Linked DNA regions of Danio rerio. The protein of the gene in region 1 purifies or fractionates together with the protein of each later gene. This does not show direct contact. Links are inferred from orthologs where the notes say so. Each region holds a gene or a part of one and is shown in the gene's direction. Other genes may lie near its edges.

Region 1 (6,304 bases):
GACTTTTTAAACCCTAAACATTTGATTTAGAGATTTAACACACTTTAAGACCCTGTGGATACCCTGTACATCTATTCTGATTCATTGACTTGTGTTCTACAGGACAGGCTTCTTTGGCACTGTGGTTGAATATGGTGCTGAGCGCAAGATAAGTCGCCACAGTGTTCTAGCTGCAACCGTCAGCATCGGTGTCCCCCAAGGAGTTTCCCTCAAAATTAGGTTAGCACCGCAAAAAGCAGCACAGCTCAGCAGAACAACAAGCTGCTCATGGGTGGTCCATTTCTGATCGCCATTTTTCATTCTCTCTACAGGTTAAACAGAGCCAGTCAAACATACCTCTTCCCTATTCACCTGACCGACCAGATTTTACCCAGCGCTGTGTTTTATGCCACTGTGGGCCCGCTGGCCATCTACTTAGCTGTCCAGAAGCTTATTATCATGCCTTATGTACAAGCCCATAAGGAACAGTGAGTTATTATCCGTAATTACTGCCCTGAAACCGCCCATTTTCCTGAAACCCCTGTCTTTACCTTGGATTCTCTGATGAAGGGCGCTGACTGTGTGGTTGTTTACAGGGAGTTGGAGAAACAGAAGGAAGATTCTGCTTCAGAAATTGCTCGCAGGAAGCAAGAGGCTGAATCTGCTGTAAGTAAAATAAATGCATAGACAAAACAAATTCTCCCTCTTGCAAACACAAACAATCATTTATCAGGGCAGATGTGTAGGTTTTCGTGTTATTGTTTCTTTGGTTTTCAGGTTTTGTTGATGCAGGAGTCGGTGAAGAGAATCATTGATGCCGAGGAATCTAAAATGGGTTTGTTTTTTTAAACATTTAAATAGATGCAAGTAAAGCTCTGTGAACATGTGATATACAGGCAATTACCAATGATAATTATTGCATTCATTTAAAAAAAAAAAACGAACTAAATCAATCCTAAAGTTATATATCCTATGTGCACAGTGTATGCCACAGATGTCAAACTCAGCTGCGTCTAAAATCGATTACAACCAGAGCTCATACTTTCTTGGAAAACCTAGAAAAGTCAAAAATTTTGACATGGCATTTTTCTGGCCTAGAAATGTTTTGGAAAAGTCATGGGAATTACATTTAGGCTGTACTCACACTATGTACAGTTGCTTTGAACCGGGCCGAAGCATGCTTGTCGCCCCTCCTGTCTCCCCCGACGGCCCACACTCACATTACATTTGGGCCTGAGCACGCTTTCGTCATCGATGATGCGCTATTCAGTAAGAAGCTCTCTCGCTCAGCACAGTGGAGATTTCATTAGTTATATCGTTTTAGGGTGCTTTCACATCTGTAGTTTGCTTCATTTGGTCCAGACCAAGGGCAATAAATGATACATTGTTGCATTTTCTGCCGTCTTTGGGTCGTTTTCACAACACACTGCTGGCTTTGGTCCGAACCAGTTGAAACGAACCAAAATGCAGTCATCTGACAAAATCCACATCTCTCATTGGCCAGATGTTGTTAAACATATTTCCTAAACTGCCTTTTGATTGGTCAGAATTCACATGCGGGAAAATGCCAGTAAACTCCCGCAGGTAAACAAAACCTTTTACTCTGGAGGGATGACTGCGCTGGCTGATTGTATCCCTGCCTTAGACAAACTATACATTACGAAAATTAAGCGTGGCCGCGGCTGGAAAACAGTGTTTAATGCATCACTCGTCACTTCAGGAGGAGACATAAATTAATTTAGCTAAACTGCGACATGGTCATCTTGCGTAAATATTACCAACAATCCATCAGGTAATATTTTCCCCTTTATCTCTCTCTCTCTGTTGGTACAGCACGGACAACAAATATTTTTCCTCCATATCCCATAATGCACAGCGCATCGGCCTAGGGCAGCTGAATTAGTCCAAAACGCGCAGTACTTTTTGCGGTTGGACCTGTTTTAGTACGAATCATATTTTCACCACAAACGAACCGCTCCAGGGTTCGTTTGAAAGTGTACCAAGACCATCTCTTCAAGCAGGTCTCAGTACGCTTATTTGGTCCGCTTTTGGTGCGCACTCGAGTACGATTGCTGCATTCTCACCTGTCCAAACGAACTGCACCAAAAGGGGAAACGAACTCTAGTGCGATTCAATCGAACTAAATATGGCAGGTGTGAAAGCACCCTTAGTCCCTTGATATGCAGTGACACGCCAAACAGATCCGCCATTTTTGACGCTCATAAACAATCATAAAGTCCTCGTGCTGCAGGAATTAGGAGGTTTGCTGAAGGTGCAGTCATTTAGAGCTTGTGCTTAATTCTGTCGTACAGCGCTGCGAAAAGGGGCAGGGTTAAACAATTTGATTAGACGTTAATAAAAGTAGCAATTGCTCTATATTTTAAATGACTAAACTATACTATGGTCTAACGCAATCACGTGATGCGATTTCGCAGGTACAAATTCACCAAGCTTGAACTTTCGAATGCAGTGAAATGCGAAACTTGTCACACACGCTTGTGTTTCTGGTGAATGGATGTCTATGGAGCAAAGTGCAGTGTGATCGTGACTTTACTATAATAGTTTTCCCTACTATTAACAGTTTAACAAACTATTAACAGTGTCTAAATTTAGTTTCAAAAATATCTATATACTGGAATGGGGGTTAGTTGTTTTTACTACTTTCTTGGCCAAAAACATGGTCTCATATAATTATTGCTGTGTAAGCATCATCTATTTTACATAGATTTAAAAATATATTGAAACTAAAGAGATTGTTGTGTGTTTTGTGATATGCTGTAATAAATTAAATGGTTGATTGTTTTTCGTATGATTTACCATGTATACGTGGACCTTACATGAAACATTAAGTCATGAAAATTGACTTGAAAGTCCTGGGAAAGTCAAGGAATTGTTGTAGTAAAACATGCATGAACCCTGCATTACTCAGTAGGTACTACATTTGAATTAGAATTTACTACTCGATCGTTAAAAAAGTATGTTCTATATTGTATGAATGTGAGTTTTATGAATAGAACATACTATATGCGCCATTTTGCATAATCACGTGACCCACCCACATCAGTTCCGTTGCTTCACTCCCATTCATGAATTCAGGATGGTTGGGAATTCTCTCGCGATAAGAGTAACATGCATGGTACTTCTCGCATACTGTTTTTCGAATTCGATGAAATCGGACATACTACTTCACATACTGTTTTTTTTTTGCATACTATATAGTATGGAAATATGCAATTTCGGACGTAGCATTAGTTTCTGGAGGGCCACATCTCTGCACAGTTTAGCTTTAACTAAAATTAAACACACCTGACCAAACTAATTGTGTCCTTTAGGCTTGTTTTACACCTCCAGGTAAAGCCGCGGTCACACTTCACTTATCAGCCCATAGACTTCCATTCATACGCAGGGTTGGAACTAAACTGTGTAGGGCTGCGGCCCTCCAGGAACTGAGTTTGACACCCCTATGCCATAAAAAAAACTCCTGGACCTAGAAAAGGCATAGAATCTTTTTAAATAAAATATTTTTTTAAGTAATGCTCAATTCTGATCTTGTATTTGTTCAACTGGGAATAGTTTTGTGTATTCATTAAAAAAGGTATAATTGTTGGTTAGAAAAAGTGTGAATGGTGGTATTCTGAATAATACTAATGTTTGCTGAAAAGAATGAACTCAAATTGTTAATTTCTTGTCCATGTGTTTCTGATGTAGATATATAGCTGTAAATACAACAGCTTGTTTGGTTTTCCTCAGCCACCTGCTACACTTCCTGTTCATACATCTTGATTTACATTCCTGAATGGATGAATATCGCACTGTAAATATTGTTTTTGTGTTTAATCTAGGTCTCATCATTCTTAATGCGTGGTATGGTAAATTTGTGTCAGACAATAGTCAGAAACGTGAAAGAGCGAAGGTCATTGATGTGACGGTCCCGCTTCAGTGTTTAGTGAAAGATTCTAAACTCATGCTTACTGAGGCATCAAAGGTTAGACATGCAAAAAAATCTACCTGTTCTTTACATCAATGTAACTCGCTTAAATTCTTGTATTAATTAGTTTTGTTTTGTGTTAATCAGGCTGGCTTGCCAGGGTTTTATGATCCTTGCGTTGGAGAGGAAAAAAGTCTAAAGCTGCTGTACCAGTTCAGAGGTGCAATGCACCAAGTGTTGTCCGGAGACACAGATCCTCTTAGGATACCTAAACAATGTGAGTATACTGAAAAACAGGGAATTTTTTATTTTTAAAAGGTTGGTCTTATTTTGCTTTTTTAAGAGTATACCTATTGTAAAATATAATGCAAGTGTGGATTTTTCATAAGTGTCAAAGGTCAGAAAAAACATAAATAAATGTGCACATTATATGTATATATATATATATATATATATATATATATATATATATATATATATATATGTATATATATATATATATATATATATATATATAAATCAAAAATGTTTTAAATAACAAAATGGGAGGGTGGCGGGAGATGGTCTGAAATGCAGGATATGGGTTTGAAATATGGGAGAGTATCTGGGAAAAACCCAGTGTTGGCAGGTATGCTTAAACATACACTCTGCACTTGGACTACTTCAATATTTTTGATAAGTCGTGTTGGGCATTTCACTCTGTCTTGTGCTGAACGCAGTTGACCAATTGCAACAGACTGTCATTGGTTCAATCAGTGTAGATTAGCTTCGCGCTAAGGAGGGGTTTGGGAAAAAATGAATCGCTGAATGAATCATATCCGAATCGCTGGGAGAATTAGGTAAAAATAAATGCACATTGTAAGCACAATATGTACCTTGCATCCATATCAGCCTGTTGTTGGAGATTCATAAAACCAAAATATGACCCTTATAATGTATAATAGGAGCTCTTTAAAAAACTCATGCAAAATGACAAGTGACACTTAAGGGAACAACATGCAGAGGTAGACCAAAAACAACAAAAACTAAGAGCAGTCTACTGAGAGAAAAGGCACTGTCTGTATTTCATCAGCTGCCTAAATATTCATAGTGGCGTTAGACATTTCAACTCTTCGCAACGTTCAAACTCTTCGTTTTGTGTGGGTCAGGATTGAATTCTCTCCAGACTTTGAGGAGCCTTGATATAATGTACCTGCTTGTAATTTGCATGATAAGTGGAGATATTTTATTTCACTGATTTTTATTTGCATAACAGAAGCGCAACCAATTTACATAAAGGCAGTATATGATCTTTAGTGGTCTTCAAAACATCTACTTTGACTCTAAAACACTGTAGTTGTATCTGAAGCCTGTAAGAATTTGATTTGATTGTTGACAAGATGCTGTTTTATGCGCCATGAAAGCAAATCCACTTGCATTTTAACTAAAATGTGGCACTTTCATTCAAAGATGGTGTTTTTGTTCTGTCTCTTTTCATTCAGCTCATAGAATTGATTCAGAGACATAAGGATCTTCCACACATTGGAAGAAAGCACAGATGAACTCAATGGACATCAAAGGAACATAAAGGGACAGTCAGGCATCATGTGATCAGAAGGGCTGCTCCTCTTCATTTCCTGTAGTCACCCTTGTATCACCTTCGTGTTGTCTATGTCAAATCCCTTTACATACATTGGATGAATGGGTCAAACATGTCTCCTTAAAGCCCTGCTCACACTGTGCGATTTCAGCCAGATTTGGTCCTCTGAGACAAATTTGGGAAATCCTAAAAGATTCTAGAAATCCTCGGCTAAATTCTGTGGTCTTTGATTGATGGTTTAACATGTTCGCCAAAAGTCGCATAAAAGCATGTGCGATTAAATCTTCCCTCCAAAGAAGTTCTGGCAGATTCATAAAATAACAGACACTACTGCAAGTGTGAGTTTAACGTCAAACCAAGAACCAATAAGAATGCCATATTTGATAATGCAACTGGCACGACAACTTCACACCGTTTAAGTTTGTTTATGGATAGTAAAGTGTCGTCACACTCCCGGTGAGTTTTCTTGCATGTGTCTGTGTTTTTCAGCGTTTGACATTACGACAATTGAGATCATGTGGTGTGAAATGAGAATCAGTCTGACTTGCTACAATCATTTAGGAATTGCACAGTGTGAACCAGGCTTCAGATCTGGAGTTTTATATGTGAGGCTCCAGATGAACCACCTTAACCTGGTTGTGGCTTTGATAGCTGTTTGTTTTCAGGTGGTGGGAGGAGGTTAATTATTGTACGACTCCGTCCATCGATTTTAATCAGTGTTACATTATATTACACTATCTAATATCAGCAGGAATAAAGCTCCAGAAACTAAACTGTACTTTATAAGTGCGGTCCAAACCATAAGGAAGACCCGAAAA
Region 2 (6,248 bases), on another chromosome or scaffold:
TCAGCTGGCCAATCAGAGCATAGTATGACTCACATATACTAGGCATGCGTAGATGTAACTGACTGAATTCATTCATGTGTGGATTTGTCTTTGAATAACTTTATAAAATATTATGTTTTAAAAAGTATCACACATGTACTTTATTGATGTGATGATGTATCGTTTGTTGTTGTGTATGAATTGTGTGAATATAAGTGGTTTATCTGGGAGAATGTTTTTCGCCTGTTTGTTCAGATGTCAGCGTCGTTTCGCTCAATAACTGGAATTTTTATAATTGTTTGTCTTCAGTTTAAAGAGAAAACACCTGCCTTTTTGTTCTGTCTACTTAAATTGCCTTCGTTTTATAATATAAAGCAAATGCGTTTTACTAATGTCCAATAAACACACACATATATAGTATTTTTTTTTTTTTACTTGTTTGCTTCATTCATTTATTCATTTATTTTCTTTATGGCTTAGTCCCTTTATTAATCCGTGGTGGCCACAGCATATGTATCATTTATTCATCTCTGGGAAACATTAGACACTCATTCACACTCATACAGTACAGACAATTTAGCCTACCCAATGCACCTGTCTTTGGACTGTGAAGGAAACCAGAGCACCCGGAGGAAACCCACGAGAACGCGGGGAGAACATACAAACTCCACACAGAAACGTCAACTGACCCAGCCGAGACTCGAACCAGCAAGCTTCTTGCTGTGAGGCGACAGCACTACCTACTGTGCCACTGCGTCGCCCACTTGCTTTCTTGTCAGATGCTTTTGATTTGTTACTCCTACAATACAAAAAATATTAAATGGAAATGACACGTAAAATGCATTAAATAAGACTATATGCAGATAAATACACACACACACACACACACACACACACACACACACACACACACACACACACACACACACACACACACACCAAATCTGAAATTAAATAAGTGTAATATTATATAAATTATAATAAATAAACTAGTACACCTGAGAGCACAATAACCATAAAAAGAAACTTTAAGATTTGTTAAAGATTTGTTCATTTGTAACATTTATTTATTTTATATAATACAAATAAAAGCAGGCATTTATTTAGAAAACTATTAGTTGTAATTTGCTAAAACTTGATTAACCAGAATTAGATAACTAAACAAAATGTTGGGCGAAGCAGTAGTGCAGTAGGTAGTGCTGTCGCCTCACAGCAAGAAGGCCACTGGGTCACTGGTTTGAACCTCGGCTCAGTTGGTGTTTTTGTGTGGAGTTTACATGTTCTCCCTACGTTCGCGTGGGTTTCCTCCGGGTGCTTCGGTTTCCCCCACAGTCCAAAGACATGCGGTACAGGTGAATTGGGTAGGCTAAATTGTCCGTAGTGTATGTGCGTGTATGTGTATGTGTGGATGTTTCCCAGAGATGGGTTGTGGCTGGAAGGGCATCCGCTACGTAAAAACGTGCTGGATAAGTTGGCGGTTCATTTCGCTGTGGCGACCCCGGATTAATAAAGGGACTAGCCAACAAGAAAATGAATGAATGAATGAATAAACAAAATGTTATGTCATTAAATTTAATGACAAAATGAAATGACAGGCAGTTGTCGCGGTGGTGCAGTGGGTAGCATGTTCCCCTCACAGCAAGAAGGTAGCTGGTTCGAGTCTCGGCTGAGTCAGTTGGCATTTCTGTGTGGAGTTTGCATGTTCTCCCTGTGTTTGCGTGGGTTTCCCCCACAAGTTCAAAGACGTGGTACAGGTGAATTGGGTATGCTAAAATTGTCCGTAGTGTGTGTGAATGAGTAGGTGTGGATGTTTCCTAGTGATGGGTTGCGGCTGGATGGGCGTCTAAAAACATATGCTGGAAGTTGGTGGTTCATTCTGCTGTGGCGACCCCAGATTAATAAAGAGACTAAGCTGAAAAGAAAATGAATTAAGAAATTAATGAAATGACAGGCATATATATTTATTATTTTAATGCATTGTATCTATTGTCGAGAAGAATATGAACTAATATTACTAACTAATACTAATACGACTAATAAAATATTATACAACTAATATTACGACTAATACTACGACTTAATATGTAAATAAGTCTAAAAGAAAATAAATGAAGAAATGAATGAAATGACAAGCATATATACTTATTTTTAATGTATTGAATCTACTGCAAATACACATATTTATTTAATTAAAATAGTACTAAAATGATATTCTTCTATATTCATTCATCTATATGCATCTAACAGTACAATAGTTTTACGCATTGTAGCATTGTGTAGTACTGTATTTTTCACATATTGTGTATCGTTAATTTGTCATATTAAATAATACAAATGTATTATACTTTTTATTATATATATATATATATATATATATATATATATATATATATATATATATATATATATATATATATATATATATATATATATACCCATGCTATTCTTTTTTTTAGCTTTATAATGAAAAATAATGTATCCTTTAGTAAAACCCCTTCTGATTAGGTAAAACCGCACGACGTCATACCTCACCTCCTCCAATAAGCTGGTCTAAATTCAGGAAGTGTTACACGGTCTGCTAAAAAAGCTCCGCAGATAATGGCAAAATAAACCGGACCAGAACAGCTGGTCACACAGAATTTTAACTTCGTTTACTGTCGTCCTCATATCCAGTCTGGTTTCCGTCAGCAGTTGATTTGTCGGTGGTTTTGGATCCAGCAACTGGACAGGAATCATCCGAAGCGAGGAGCGTCCTGGGCGTGTTTGCTGTAAGGTTATGCGTGGACAACACTCACTGTCACAACACACACAAGGTTAACTAGATAGAGACAATCACTTCAAACCTAAACACACCGACTAAACATTTACTAGCAGACGATAGCACATATTTACGTGTGTTCTGATGGAAACAGATAATACATTCTCTTTCTGTCTTATAGCATTGTTATTGTTCATAGAAATACAATAATATTCACGTGTATTGATGTTTTGTGGTCTAAATATGAATGGGGAACGAACGCCAAATGTTTGTTTTTATAGTCTTAATTGTGTCTCGTATGGAAGCTCGGATTGTCATTGTCTTGATGATGCCGTGTTAATGTTAGCCGGTTAGCAGCACAGGCCCGTTTAAAGGCCTCGCTAGCTGTGTTGTACTGGGGGAATCAGACATCATGACCATTATGGGTCACTCAGTTCACCGGCAAAGCCAATAACAAGCCACGTGTTTAAAGATCAGCGGTCAATCGATAGAAAAGGACGCACGAAAACAAATGTGTGTTGATTAATGACGTCAAGCAAAAATATTGGCGATAAAGTCAAATGTTTAGTGTTGTTAAAGTTCTGTTGTACGTAATGATGCATTTTTTTAAAAATATGCAAAAGTTAATTTGTGAAATACAGTAATGGTCATTTTATTTTTTATATAATGACATGTCATTTATACTTATGATAATAAAGCTTAATATAATCTTTGCTCCAGACTTCAATGTCACGTGATCTTTCAGAACTCATTTTAATGTCATGAGCACTTTAGTTAATATCAGTTTTGTGTTGGTTAATGTTTTTGGACGAGCAGTGAGAGATTTTGTTGACAATGTGTATTTAATTATTAGTGTAATGTAATGAATTGCCTAAATGGTAAAATAATGACAAGTTGCACTTAAAAAAAACTGTTTTAAAAATTGCATATTTTAATGACATTAAATTGGGTAAAATGACAGTAAATAATTTATAATGTTACTAAAAACTATATTTCTTTAGAAGGCTGTTATTCAACTTTCTATCATCACAGAATCCTGAAAAAAGTTAGCGCTTATTTATTTATTTATTTTAAGAATTATTTTCAACATCGCAACAGTGGTAGTGGTATCTCATGACAACAAGCACAGCAATTTATGTTCGACATTCAAATGCATACAAATGCTTGAAAGTAAAGCCAGAAATAAAATTAAATTATAAAACCAAATTTAGAAAGACAGAGTCACTGTGTGCCCTCAAGAAAATTCCAGAGGGAGAAACAAATGCGGCAGAACACCTCAGAACTCTGATGTTAATCGTAGGTAATTTTTTTTAGTGAGGGAACCAATTGCAACAAACCATTTAAGTTAAAAAACTAATCATAATGAGTACTGTGAACTTAATCCATTTAGGTAAATGAAGCAATTTGAGCACAGTAAAACCCAATAAATGAAGAGAATTCAAACCAACCGAGTACTGTAAAACCCAATAAGTTAAGCAAACGTTTTTGCATTTAAAAAAAAATAATTTTGTGAATCTCTTTCCTGTACATTTTGATTTTGTCACATACCAAAATACATGCATCACTGTGCCAATGTTTATCTTACATTTGAAACATAACTGAGAACAGTTGGGAAATATTCTATGGAGGCGAACTGGAGTTAAATAAATCCTGTGAATACATATATGATTTTGTTTATATTGCAATGTTTTTAAATTGATTTAAGCTGCAAAAACTGTTTTCAAAATGTATTGCCTGAACGCTTCATAAAAACTGAAGATATGGAAAAACTTGACTGCTAGTGTGTTAGGGCTTGTGATTTCCAAATCAGCCCAAATCGGCATGTTCAATTAATGTTCAGTAAATATGCTATTTTAAATGAAGGGTGCATTACTTATCAACTGAAGGAAACACGCTTATCTACTAACTATAAATATTTATTGAAAAAAAAGTGTTGAACAGCTAAAATTAAAACACACACTGCCTAAAAAGAACAATCTAAAAATTACTATGAAAAGTAATTGAAAATATTGACCAGGAAAAATTAGATTGATTATAGGTTCTGAAGGTCGATTTTTGATTACTTTTCAATTAATCGCCCCACCCTATAGTGTACATATGACAACAATGAAAGAGTATATATTTGTACTTTATTATCTTTTTCCAATATATTTATATATAATCCTAATTTTAAAGCAATCCAGTTTATTGCTATTATTTCTAATGTCACCATTATCAGACATTTGATTTTAAGGCTTTCATTAAAAATATGTTTATCATCATTATTATTATTATCTTCATCGAAAAAACCACATCATATGAATGCTTCAGGCAAACCAGTTTATACTAACTTGTATTTTTAAAGACAGATTTTAATGTGTGTTCTGTCATGAATGAAAACTCTTCTTGTTTACAGAAATAAATCAAGCTGTTTTATAATATTAATATTTTTTATTTACCTCAGCTTGGAGCGGTGTGTTTTCTGTGCATGGCCCTTGGAGTGGGAGCAGCATGAGCGGGGAGCCTGATGCCTTGGCTGTGGTGAATCAGCTGAGGGACTTAGCTGCCGACCCCCTCAACAGGAGAGTTATAGTTGAAGATCAGGGCTGCTTCTCCGGCCTCATCCTTTTTCTCGACCATCCCAATCCTCAAGTCGTCTACTCCGCACTCTTGGTAAGGTCTATTTGCTGTTAAATGGGTGGTTAATCAGCTATTTTTCAAGACATCCTTATGCTTATGGGGTGTAAATTAATAAAAATTTTTGGTTTTATGAAGCCCCTTCCTCAGAAAAATGTAATTGGTTAGTTGGCTCAGGGTGTTCTGCTTAGCTATCCACCTAGGGCACAATGTATTAAATGTCTCACCGGGGGGCGTGGTTTATGCAAATGTAGCGTTTGTGAGGTCACAATCCCAGGAACAAAAAGGTTTTGCAAAAAAAAAAAAACCTACTGTAGTTGAAATTTTATTTGAATCAACTTTTAATTAGTTTAAAGTTCTTAAACTATTAAAAAACACCTGTTCTTGTCTTAGAACAATTTTTTAGGATAATCTTTTTTTATCCACTTTAAATGTTGACTTCTGTACTTGCAATTAACATTCATTCATTCATTCATTCATTTACTTTTTGGCTTAGTCCCTTTATTAAGCAGGGGTTGCCACAGTGGAATGAGCCGCCAACTTTGTTTGGCAAACAAAGCTTTGTTTATGCAGCGTATACCCTTAAAGCTGCAACCTGACACTGGGAAACATCCACACACTTGCACAGATTCCTGACTTGTGTGTGCTAATATGTTTAACAGTATATAGGGCTGGGCGTTATATTGAGTTCTGGAGATATATCAATATGATTCCCCAACACGATGCAGGATTATCCAATGTCTTTCATTCGATATGGTTTGAGTCCACACGTGCGCATTCTGTGCAAAACAGAGCTCTACAAGGTAGCACGTGAGCTCCACTTGCACAAATGAGCGCATGCGCAAATGAATGATTTATTCCCTGAGTCATACAAAAGATTTGTTAAAAATGAACA
Region 3 (6,555 bases), on another chromosome or scaffold:
CTGGCTGGAGGGCGGCACTGTTGCCCAGTGTGCCGGTGGCCATCATACAAGAAGAGACCCGTACGACAACGTGCAACTGAACAACTCGATCCAGAATAGCCCATGCGTGATTCATTTACGTCTTGCTTCCTGCACTTATTTAAAAAAAGGAAAAACATGACTTGATGTGTCCATCTTTAGTCTATAGATTCATAACATGGGTTCCTGGGGTTTTTGTTGGTGGTTTTAACTTGCACAGTCATTAATTAAATTCATACTTCCCAATATTTTTCAATAAAATTAAAAGAAAATGCTAATTTATGCAAATTATAACATACTTAATGGTAGATTCAACACACATAGTTGAAAAGCTTCTGTTTTAGCGCCCACACATCATACATCCCAATAAAACAAAAGAAAAATCCATATGTTCCTGTACCTGAGAATCACAGTTTGTGTTCAGTGTGTTTCCAAATGTGAGTAATCTGTCTAAAATTAATCGGGGAGAATAAGATTCTAGGAGATGTGAGCCTTTATATAAGGTTTACTCTCTGGGCATGTAAATATGATTAAATTTTTTTTTGTAAGGAATTACAGCTTTACATTACTTGAGTAAAACGGCCCTGTGCAATTGAAAATGGCTTAGGCACTGAAATGCAATTAAAGGCTCCATCTTCAAATAAAGTTGTCTTGTGGGAGCATGTTTTGTTATTTTTAACAGCATTTTGCCATTAACACTAATAAAGACTTTACACTTTGACGTTTGCTGTTTGTCAGGGTGTAAAAGTAATTTGGGAACCTTTACCTGTAATGACATTAAAATTCAATAAAGTCCTGCTTTCTCACCAGTGGTATAGTATCTATGAATTTACTTTTTGAAATAAGTTAAATTCTACCATTTTAGAGCATGTTACACCAATAATCTATAGGGGGCAAATATGTCTATATCAAATGTTTCTCAACCACTTTCCTGGAGGCCCACCAGCACTGCATGTTTTAGATCTTTCCTTTGTCTGTCAGACCAGTTACCGGTCTTTCAGTCTATTCCAATGAGCAGGGCCCGGTTTTTTAAAAGTAATCCACTAGGATTTTGGATAAGGGATTGGAACAAATCTTGAAAATGGGTTTTTCAAAAGAAAAAAATGGATTACTAAATCAGATTAGATTATGTAATCCAATCTTGATTTTGATCCGGATCAAACCTTGAGTTTGGGTTTTTCAGACCTTTTTTGTAGGATTTGGATCACTTCGATCCAAAAAAATCTGGATTAAACTCAGAAGGGTGGATTCAGCATGGATTTTATGCCCAAAATGTAATGAAAACTTTAAAAAAGTATCAAATAATTACTATATTTGGATCATGCAGTATCTTACAAGATATCCTATTTATTCATAAGGTTTTAATTGTATTTGTTCATTCATTAGGCTACAGTGATTAGGTAGGCTTTATCGTATTCAGCCTTTCAGTATAGGCCTACAGCAAAGTAGAAAGAGTTTGGCCTCATAAAATAATCCCCCAAACAGCTATCTAAATTGACTAAAAACAAGAAATTTGATTCTGTCACTAATTTATAAATATATTAATCACAATGGTAAAATATTTTTCTTTTCAGAATATTTATTAGGGATGTATGCAATGATTACAGAATAAACAAAACAAAAAAAAATGCAAAGAATGAGAATCTCAATTTTTTTAAATCACTTTTAACTATTGCAAAAAGAGACTGAAAGGGCAGAAGCACAACTTCATCTGGCAGAGGAACAACTGACTCTGACTGACCAAATTGCAGCAAACCAAGGCCATACTTGAGATTCGCCTTCTAGCTGGTCTCTCCTCATCAGACGAGGAAGACTGAAATTATTGTGAAGGTTAGACATTAAGTCTTTTTTTTTTTTATTCAATACATCTATATTTGAAACTTGTTATAAATATCCTCAGTGTACAGTGTTTGTGTTGTAGGTCTCAGATGAGCGTACTGCTGGAAGAGGATAGGGTGGGGTTTTTCTCGTTTTAAATTTTTATTTATTTATTTTTTTTAAATGTGTGTGTTTTAATTTCAAATAAAAATAAAGTTATATTGACCCCACACTGGCCATTCTACTTGTTGCACTTTAAATATCTATAGTTCTACATTGTGATTTCCCATCCTGTTTGAGCACTGGTTATCCACATTTAGTGATCCTGAAAATTTCCCATCCGGATCAGATTGATCCAATCCGATGTTGCTTTGAAAAACTCAAATAGTAAACTGGATTACGTGATCACGGATCGCAAAAACAGGATTACTAAATCCAGATCTATTTTATTAAACCTTTTGAAAAAACGGGCCCTTATGATCTGTGTGTTTGGTTAAGGGAGACATGGAAAATGTGGAGAGACTGTGGTCCTCCAGGAACGTGGTTGAGAAACACTGGTCTATATTACATAAATCACACATAACCTACACAGACATAGATTTTAGGTATATATATAGCCTTATATCTCCTACAATAACTGATCATGGTAGCATCCACAATATAGTACTGTATATAATAAAAAATAAAGTTACTAAAGTTATGGGAACATTTCACTGATCTATCTTGTATAGACAACAATTAATATTGAAAAAAAATTACTTATTGTTAAATTTACAAAATACATTAGCTAATTTTTACTAATGGGACCTTGTTGTGAAGTGTTACTAAAGATTATTGAGAAAATGCCATATGCCAGTAATTGTCATTTGCAAGGGCTACTTACCTATATTTCAGCGATCTCAACGAAAGCTCCAAGCTATCTATAATAACAATAACCATGTATTTACTAAAAGTATGAGCATATTTTCAAATAAGAAGCAAATAAATCTAATTATTTTCCGTCTTTACTGTGAACTCGTGACGTATTAAGCACGTTGGGTGTGCCTACCGCGCATGCGTTGCTCTGTCACTACGTTCACCGCCAGTGCTGGAGCTAATCTACAGTGTGCTGGGACGAAATTGCTGTTAAGGTTGTTCACTTTTATGATGTGTTGCTGAAACCAGTGGCATATTCCTGATCTTCAATCCAACACTCAGTATCCGAAGTGGCAAGCATGCTGCGCGTCTGTTGGAAAGGGGCACATGCAGCAGCGCGGGTAAGTTTCTTCTGCTTGAGCGGTCATTCAGTGACCCACAGCGAGGCCCTGCGTTTTAAAGCGTACAATTAAACTGCGGATTATCATAAACCCTACATTATTTATTTTATTAACCTATATTTATTAAACTTCATAACGAGTTTATGGTTTTATTTGTTGCGACTTGTTATTTGCGGTTTAGATGGAACACAGTGCTAGAAGTGCTGCTGTACGTCAACGACGTAACGTTGAGAAGAAAGAGGCGTTTACAGTTTGATAGGCAAATTCTTTCAGCCAATGAAATGTCACTATTAAGTGAGTGACTGCTTTCTCCACCAATAAACTACCTCATGTGTACGTCTGCGTAAATGTGGGCGGGATGTGTATGATTCATTTTTTCTGTCACCCGGATAACCAAGCTAGTCAACAGCTGTCTGAAAATCTTAGTTTTACATGAGTTCATGTCTGTTTTACATACAATTGTGTTTTACCAGAACCATTTTCATGCCAAGCGTATTATGATAGAGCTGTAACGCTGTTCTGTAAACACCGTGAAACACACGTTTTGTCCAATAGAAGGACGTGACCTTGCCAGGGAAAGTTCAGAAAGTTTCCAAGACAAACGCTGCCAACATGTCTATTGCGTTTCTATATGTTAATTAGTCAAATTAACAATTGTTAATATGTATAACAGCTGTTAAAATAACCAACATCTAAATGTATACGCATTAAAGATTCATTTTAAGCATTAAAGATTCAAAAGTTCATTCATTCAAAGTTCATGTTTTGAGAAACCACCAACACACACAAATTCCAAATAGAAGTGTTATTATTTAGAGCATACAAAAACAAACAAACATTAAATTAGCTCAAAATAAAATATCCGATCTTTACAGATATACAAACTGCACAAAAAGATTACCAATTTGAAACCCGCTGAATAGCATTCGCATTGGAAAGATGTGGCTCTTTGTATTTAATTAACGTTTATGTAAGACAATGCTTGTATTTAGTGTAAACAATGCTATTTTTTATGTACTTAATATTTTAATTCGTCATTTATTTTGTTGTAGAGCATGTGAGATGATTTGTTTGTTTGTTTCTCTGCAGCAATGTGTGTGTGGTAAAGTGAAGGCCCATCCATTACAGCACTGCCGCAGATACACCACAGCAGGAAACTCTGGGTATAAAATCAAACAATTAATTTCCACTTAAACAAAAGTTTACTGTGATTTGTTTATACGCAGATTTGTTTATTTTTCTTGTAGTTAATTGGACAATTATTAAATGAGTGACTTCTCAATCATACATTTACACTTATCCATTTGGCAGAAACATTTATCTAAAGCATATTACATTTCATTTATGCTGCATATGTAGACATTTTTTCTATAATGTCATAGTTGTCAGTCCCTATTTTGTATCACTTGAGCTAAAGAAATGTTTTTATTTATTTATTTATTTATTTATTTATTTGCTTATTGTTCTGCAGATCCTCCGCTGGGAAAATAGTGGCTGCTAGTCTTTTAACAGTGGGTGGTGGTCTTGGTGGGACTATCCTTTATGCCAAATGGGACCCAAAATTTCGGTCATCTGTAGAGAAGAGTGTTCCCTATTCGGATCAACTATTTGACATGGTGCTAGGGGCACCCCCTTCTCCACCCGTACCTATACAAAAGAAACCGGTAAGTGAAAGGGTTACGAACAACCAAAACACATTTTTTGAGCTGTTGACAGTCATATATGTGTCCCATGCTGCTAAAACCACTATTTGGACATATATTACACAAAGAAGTGAAAATAGGGTGTTTGTGCGTTACTTCAAGCAAATTCATTGTTCCAGTTTGAAACAAATTTATGAAGCTGCGTCACGCCGATTAGATCCTTGCATGTATTTCAGCATAGAGACTGGCTTTCTATACCTGGGAGTACTTTGTGACCTCTCTGAGTGTGCTGCATTCATTCATGACAAAGACTTGGTTCAAACCAAACAGTGCGCTCTATTGTGTATGCGGTGCAACTTCATTAATATGCATGATAGCTTCGAAAAAGAAAGAAGAAGAAAACAAGTGGGAGAAGAAGAATTGTTACCCATATGAGAGATACGGGTCATCTGTGTTGCGTTTTTAAATGTCCTGCAACGAAGGTTTTGTTTTCATTTTCCCGCTATGAGAGCGCAGCTGGACTCGCATGTAGATTACACTGCACGCAACACGCGGCAGAAATACGTTTGTATGGAACATTTTTTACTCGAGAGCTTGGCTTTCCGCATTTGCTGCTTGTCTCCTTTTAAAAAAGACGCAGCTCCAGTTGGTGTTGATTCATCTGTCTTTTTATTTTTTATTTTTTTATTCAAATGGCAAAGTTAATTCGTATCGTCAGCAGTACTCTTTCAGTGTTTAAAGACAGACCTTAGTCAAAATCATTTCGAAGCTTACAGTACATTAATATCACTACAATATTATGGACTGAAAGATCTGCTGTAAATGCTGTTCTCTGTAAACATGTAAACATTAAAGACCGTCATGTTAATTTCGATGCATTTTGTGACAGGATAGTCTACACACAAACGGCTTTCTGACGACGTGCGGTATCAAACATTCAACAGTCATTAAACAAAGTCTCTGTCTTTCTCCTCTGCATCTGTGTGTTTCTTTTGCCTCAGTGAAAATCAGCGTGTGCGTAAATGAAAAATCCCATTTTTATTCAAATCCTTCCATCTTTCCCTGCCCCGTCACTCCCACCTATACCGCGCTAGACACACCCACTTTCCTGACTTTTTCCAAACTAGAGATGTGAAAACACGCTGTTGAAACGGGGGTTTCATGGCCCTTTAAAATCACTTTAATTCTTAAAGAAGACACAAATAATATGCATTCTGTAATTAGATTTAGCTATGCAACTATGTGAGCATATTATTATTATTATATAACTGATTTTAATGACAGAATCAATGATGTTGGCTAATTTCGTATTTTTATTGAATTAGGAGACTGTCAAACCACTGCAAATCTCTTCATTGTCAGAAGCAACTAAAGACTCCAAACAGCCTAAAGCTAAAGCCAAGAAGTCTGATCCAGCACCTCCACCTTCTGTAGAGGAAGCTCCAGCACCAGCGCCAGCACTTCAGTCACTGGAGGGTAAGTGGGACTTGTACCTTTCTCAAGGCTAATTTATACTTTTGCCCAGTGCCACGTCGCAAACCTCTTTTGAATGCGCACGCACCTCACGAAACGTACATGCCTTTTATACTTATATAGAAGCCCACCGTGAAGTCAGACAGATAAACAGAGAAGTAGAAAGTTTCCCGAACCACGTCATATCATTAACATAGTTCAACATTTTTAAATTTGTTAGTTTTATTATTTTTTATAATTTATGTTAATGATTATAAAGATTTTTAAAATCATTCAAGATTTTTTAAATCATTATTTGACACATCACTTGCTTTTGTTTATATCTCGGACAGTTCTACCTATTAAAG

The links. The genes of interacting proteins can lie anywhere in the genome.
Region 2: the proteins of dnajc11b (region 1) and armc1 purify together in Homo sapiens (affinity purification with mass spectrometry; 4 studies listed by BioGRID and IntAct, counting the BioPlex papers as one, with this or other methods). This does not show direct contact. The link is inferred for Danio rerio from reciprocal best matches to the Homo sapiens genes DNAJC11 and ARMC1.
Region 3: the proteins of dnajc11b (region 1) and immt purify together in Homo sapiens (co-immunoprecipitation; 3 studies listed by BioGRID and IntAct, with this or other methods). This does not show direct contact. The link is inferred for Danio rerio from reciprocal best matches to the Homo sapiens genes DNAJC11 and IMMT.

The regions. Positions count from the first base shown.
Region 1 is NC_133186.1:41,983,014-41,989,317, reverse strand, and holds part of dnajc11b (dnaJ homolog subfamily C member 11), read left to right. Parts: intron 1-102; coding exon 103-219; intron 220-311; coding exon 312-467; intron 468-575; coding exon 576-645; intron 646-756; coding exon 757-814; intron 815-3,821; coding exon 3,822-3,964; intron 3,965-4,054; coding exon 4,055-4,184; intron 4,185-5,388; coding exon 5,389-5,414; 3' UTR 5,415-6,304.
Region 2 is NC_133199.1:28,685,262-28,691,509, reverse strand, and holds the start of armc1 (armadillo repeat-containing protein 1), read left to right. Parts: upstream 1-2,582; 5' UTR 2,583-2,747; intron 2,748-5,180; 5' UTR 5,181-5,227; coding exon 5,228-5,389; intron 5,390-6,248.
Region 3 is NC_133189.1:18,388,531-18,395,085, forward strand, and holds the start of immt (MICOS complex subunit MIC60), read left to right. Parts: upstream 1-2,889; 5' UTR 2,890-3,050; coding exon 3,051-3,092; intron 3,093-4,181; coding exon 4,182-4,255; intron 4,256-4,563; coding exon 4,564-4,756; intron 4,757-6,060; coding exon 6,061-6,211; intron 6,212-6,555. UniProt on the Homo sapiens protein: Component of the MICOS complex, a large protein complex of the mitochondrial inner membrane that plays crucial roles in the maintenance of crista junctions, inner membrane architecture, and formation of contact sites to the outer membrane.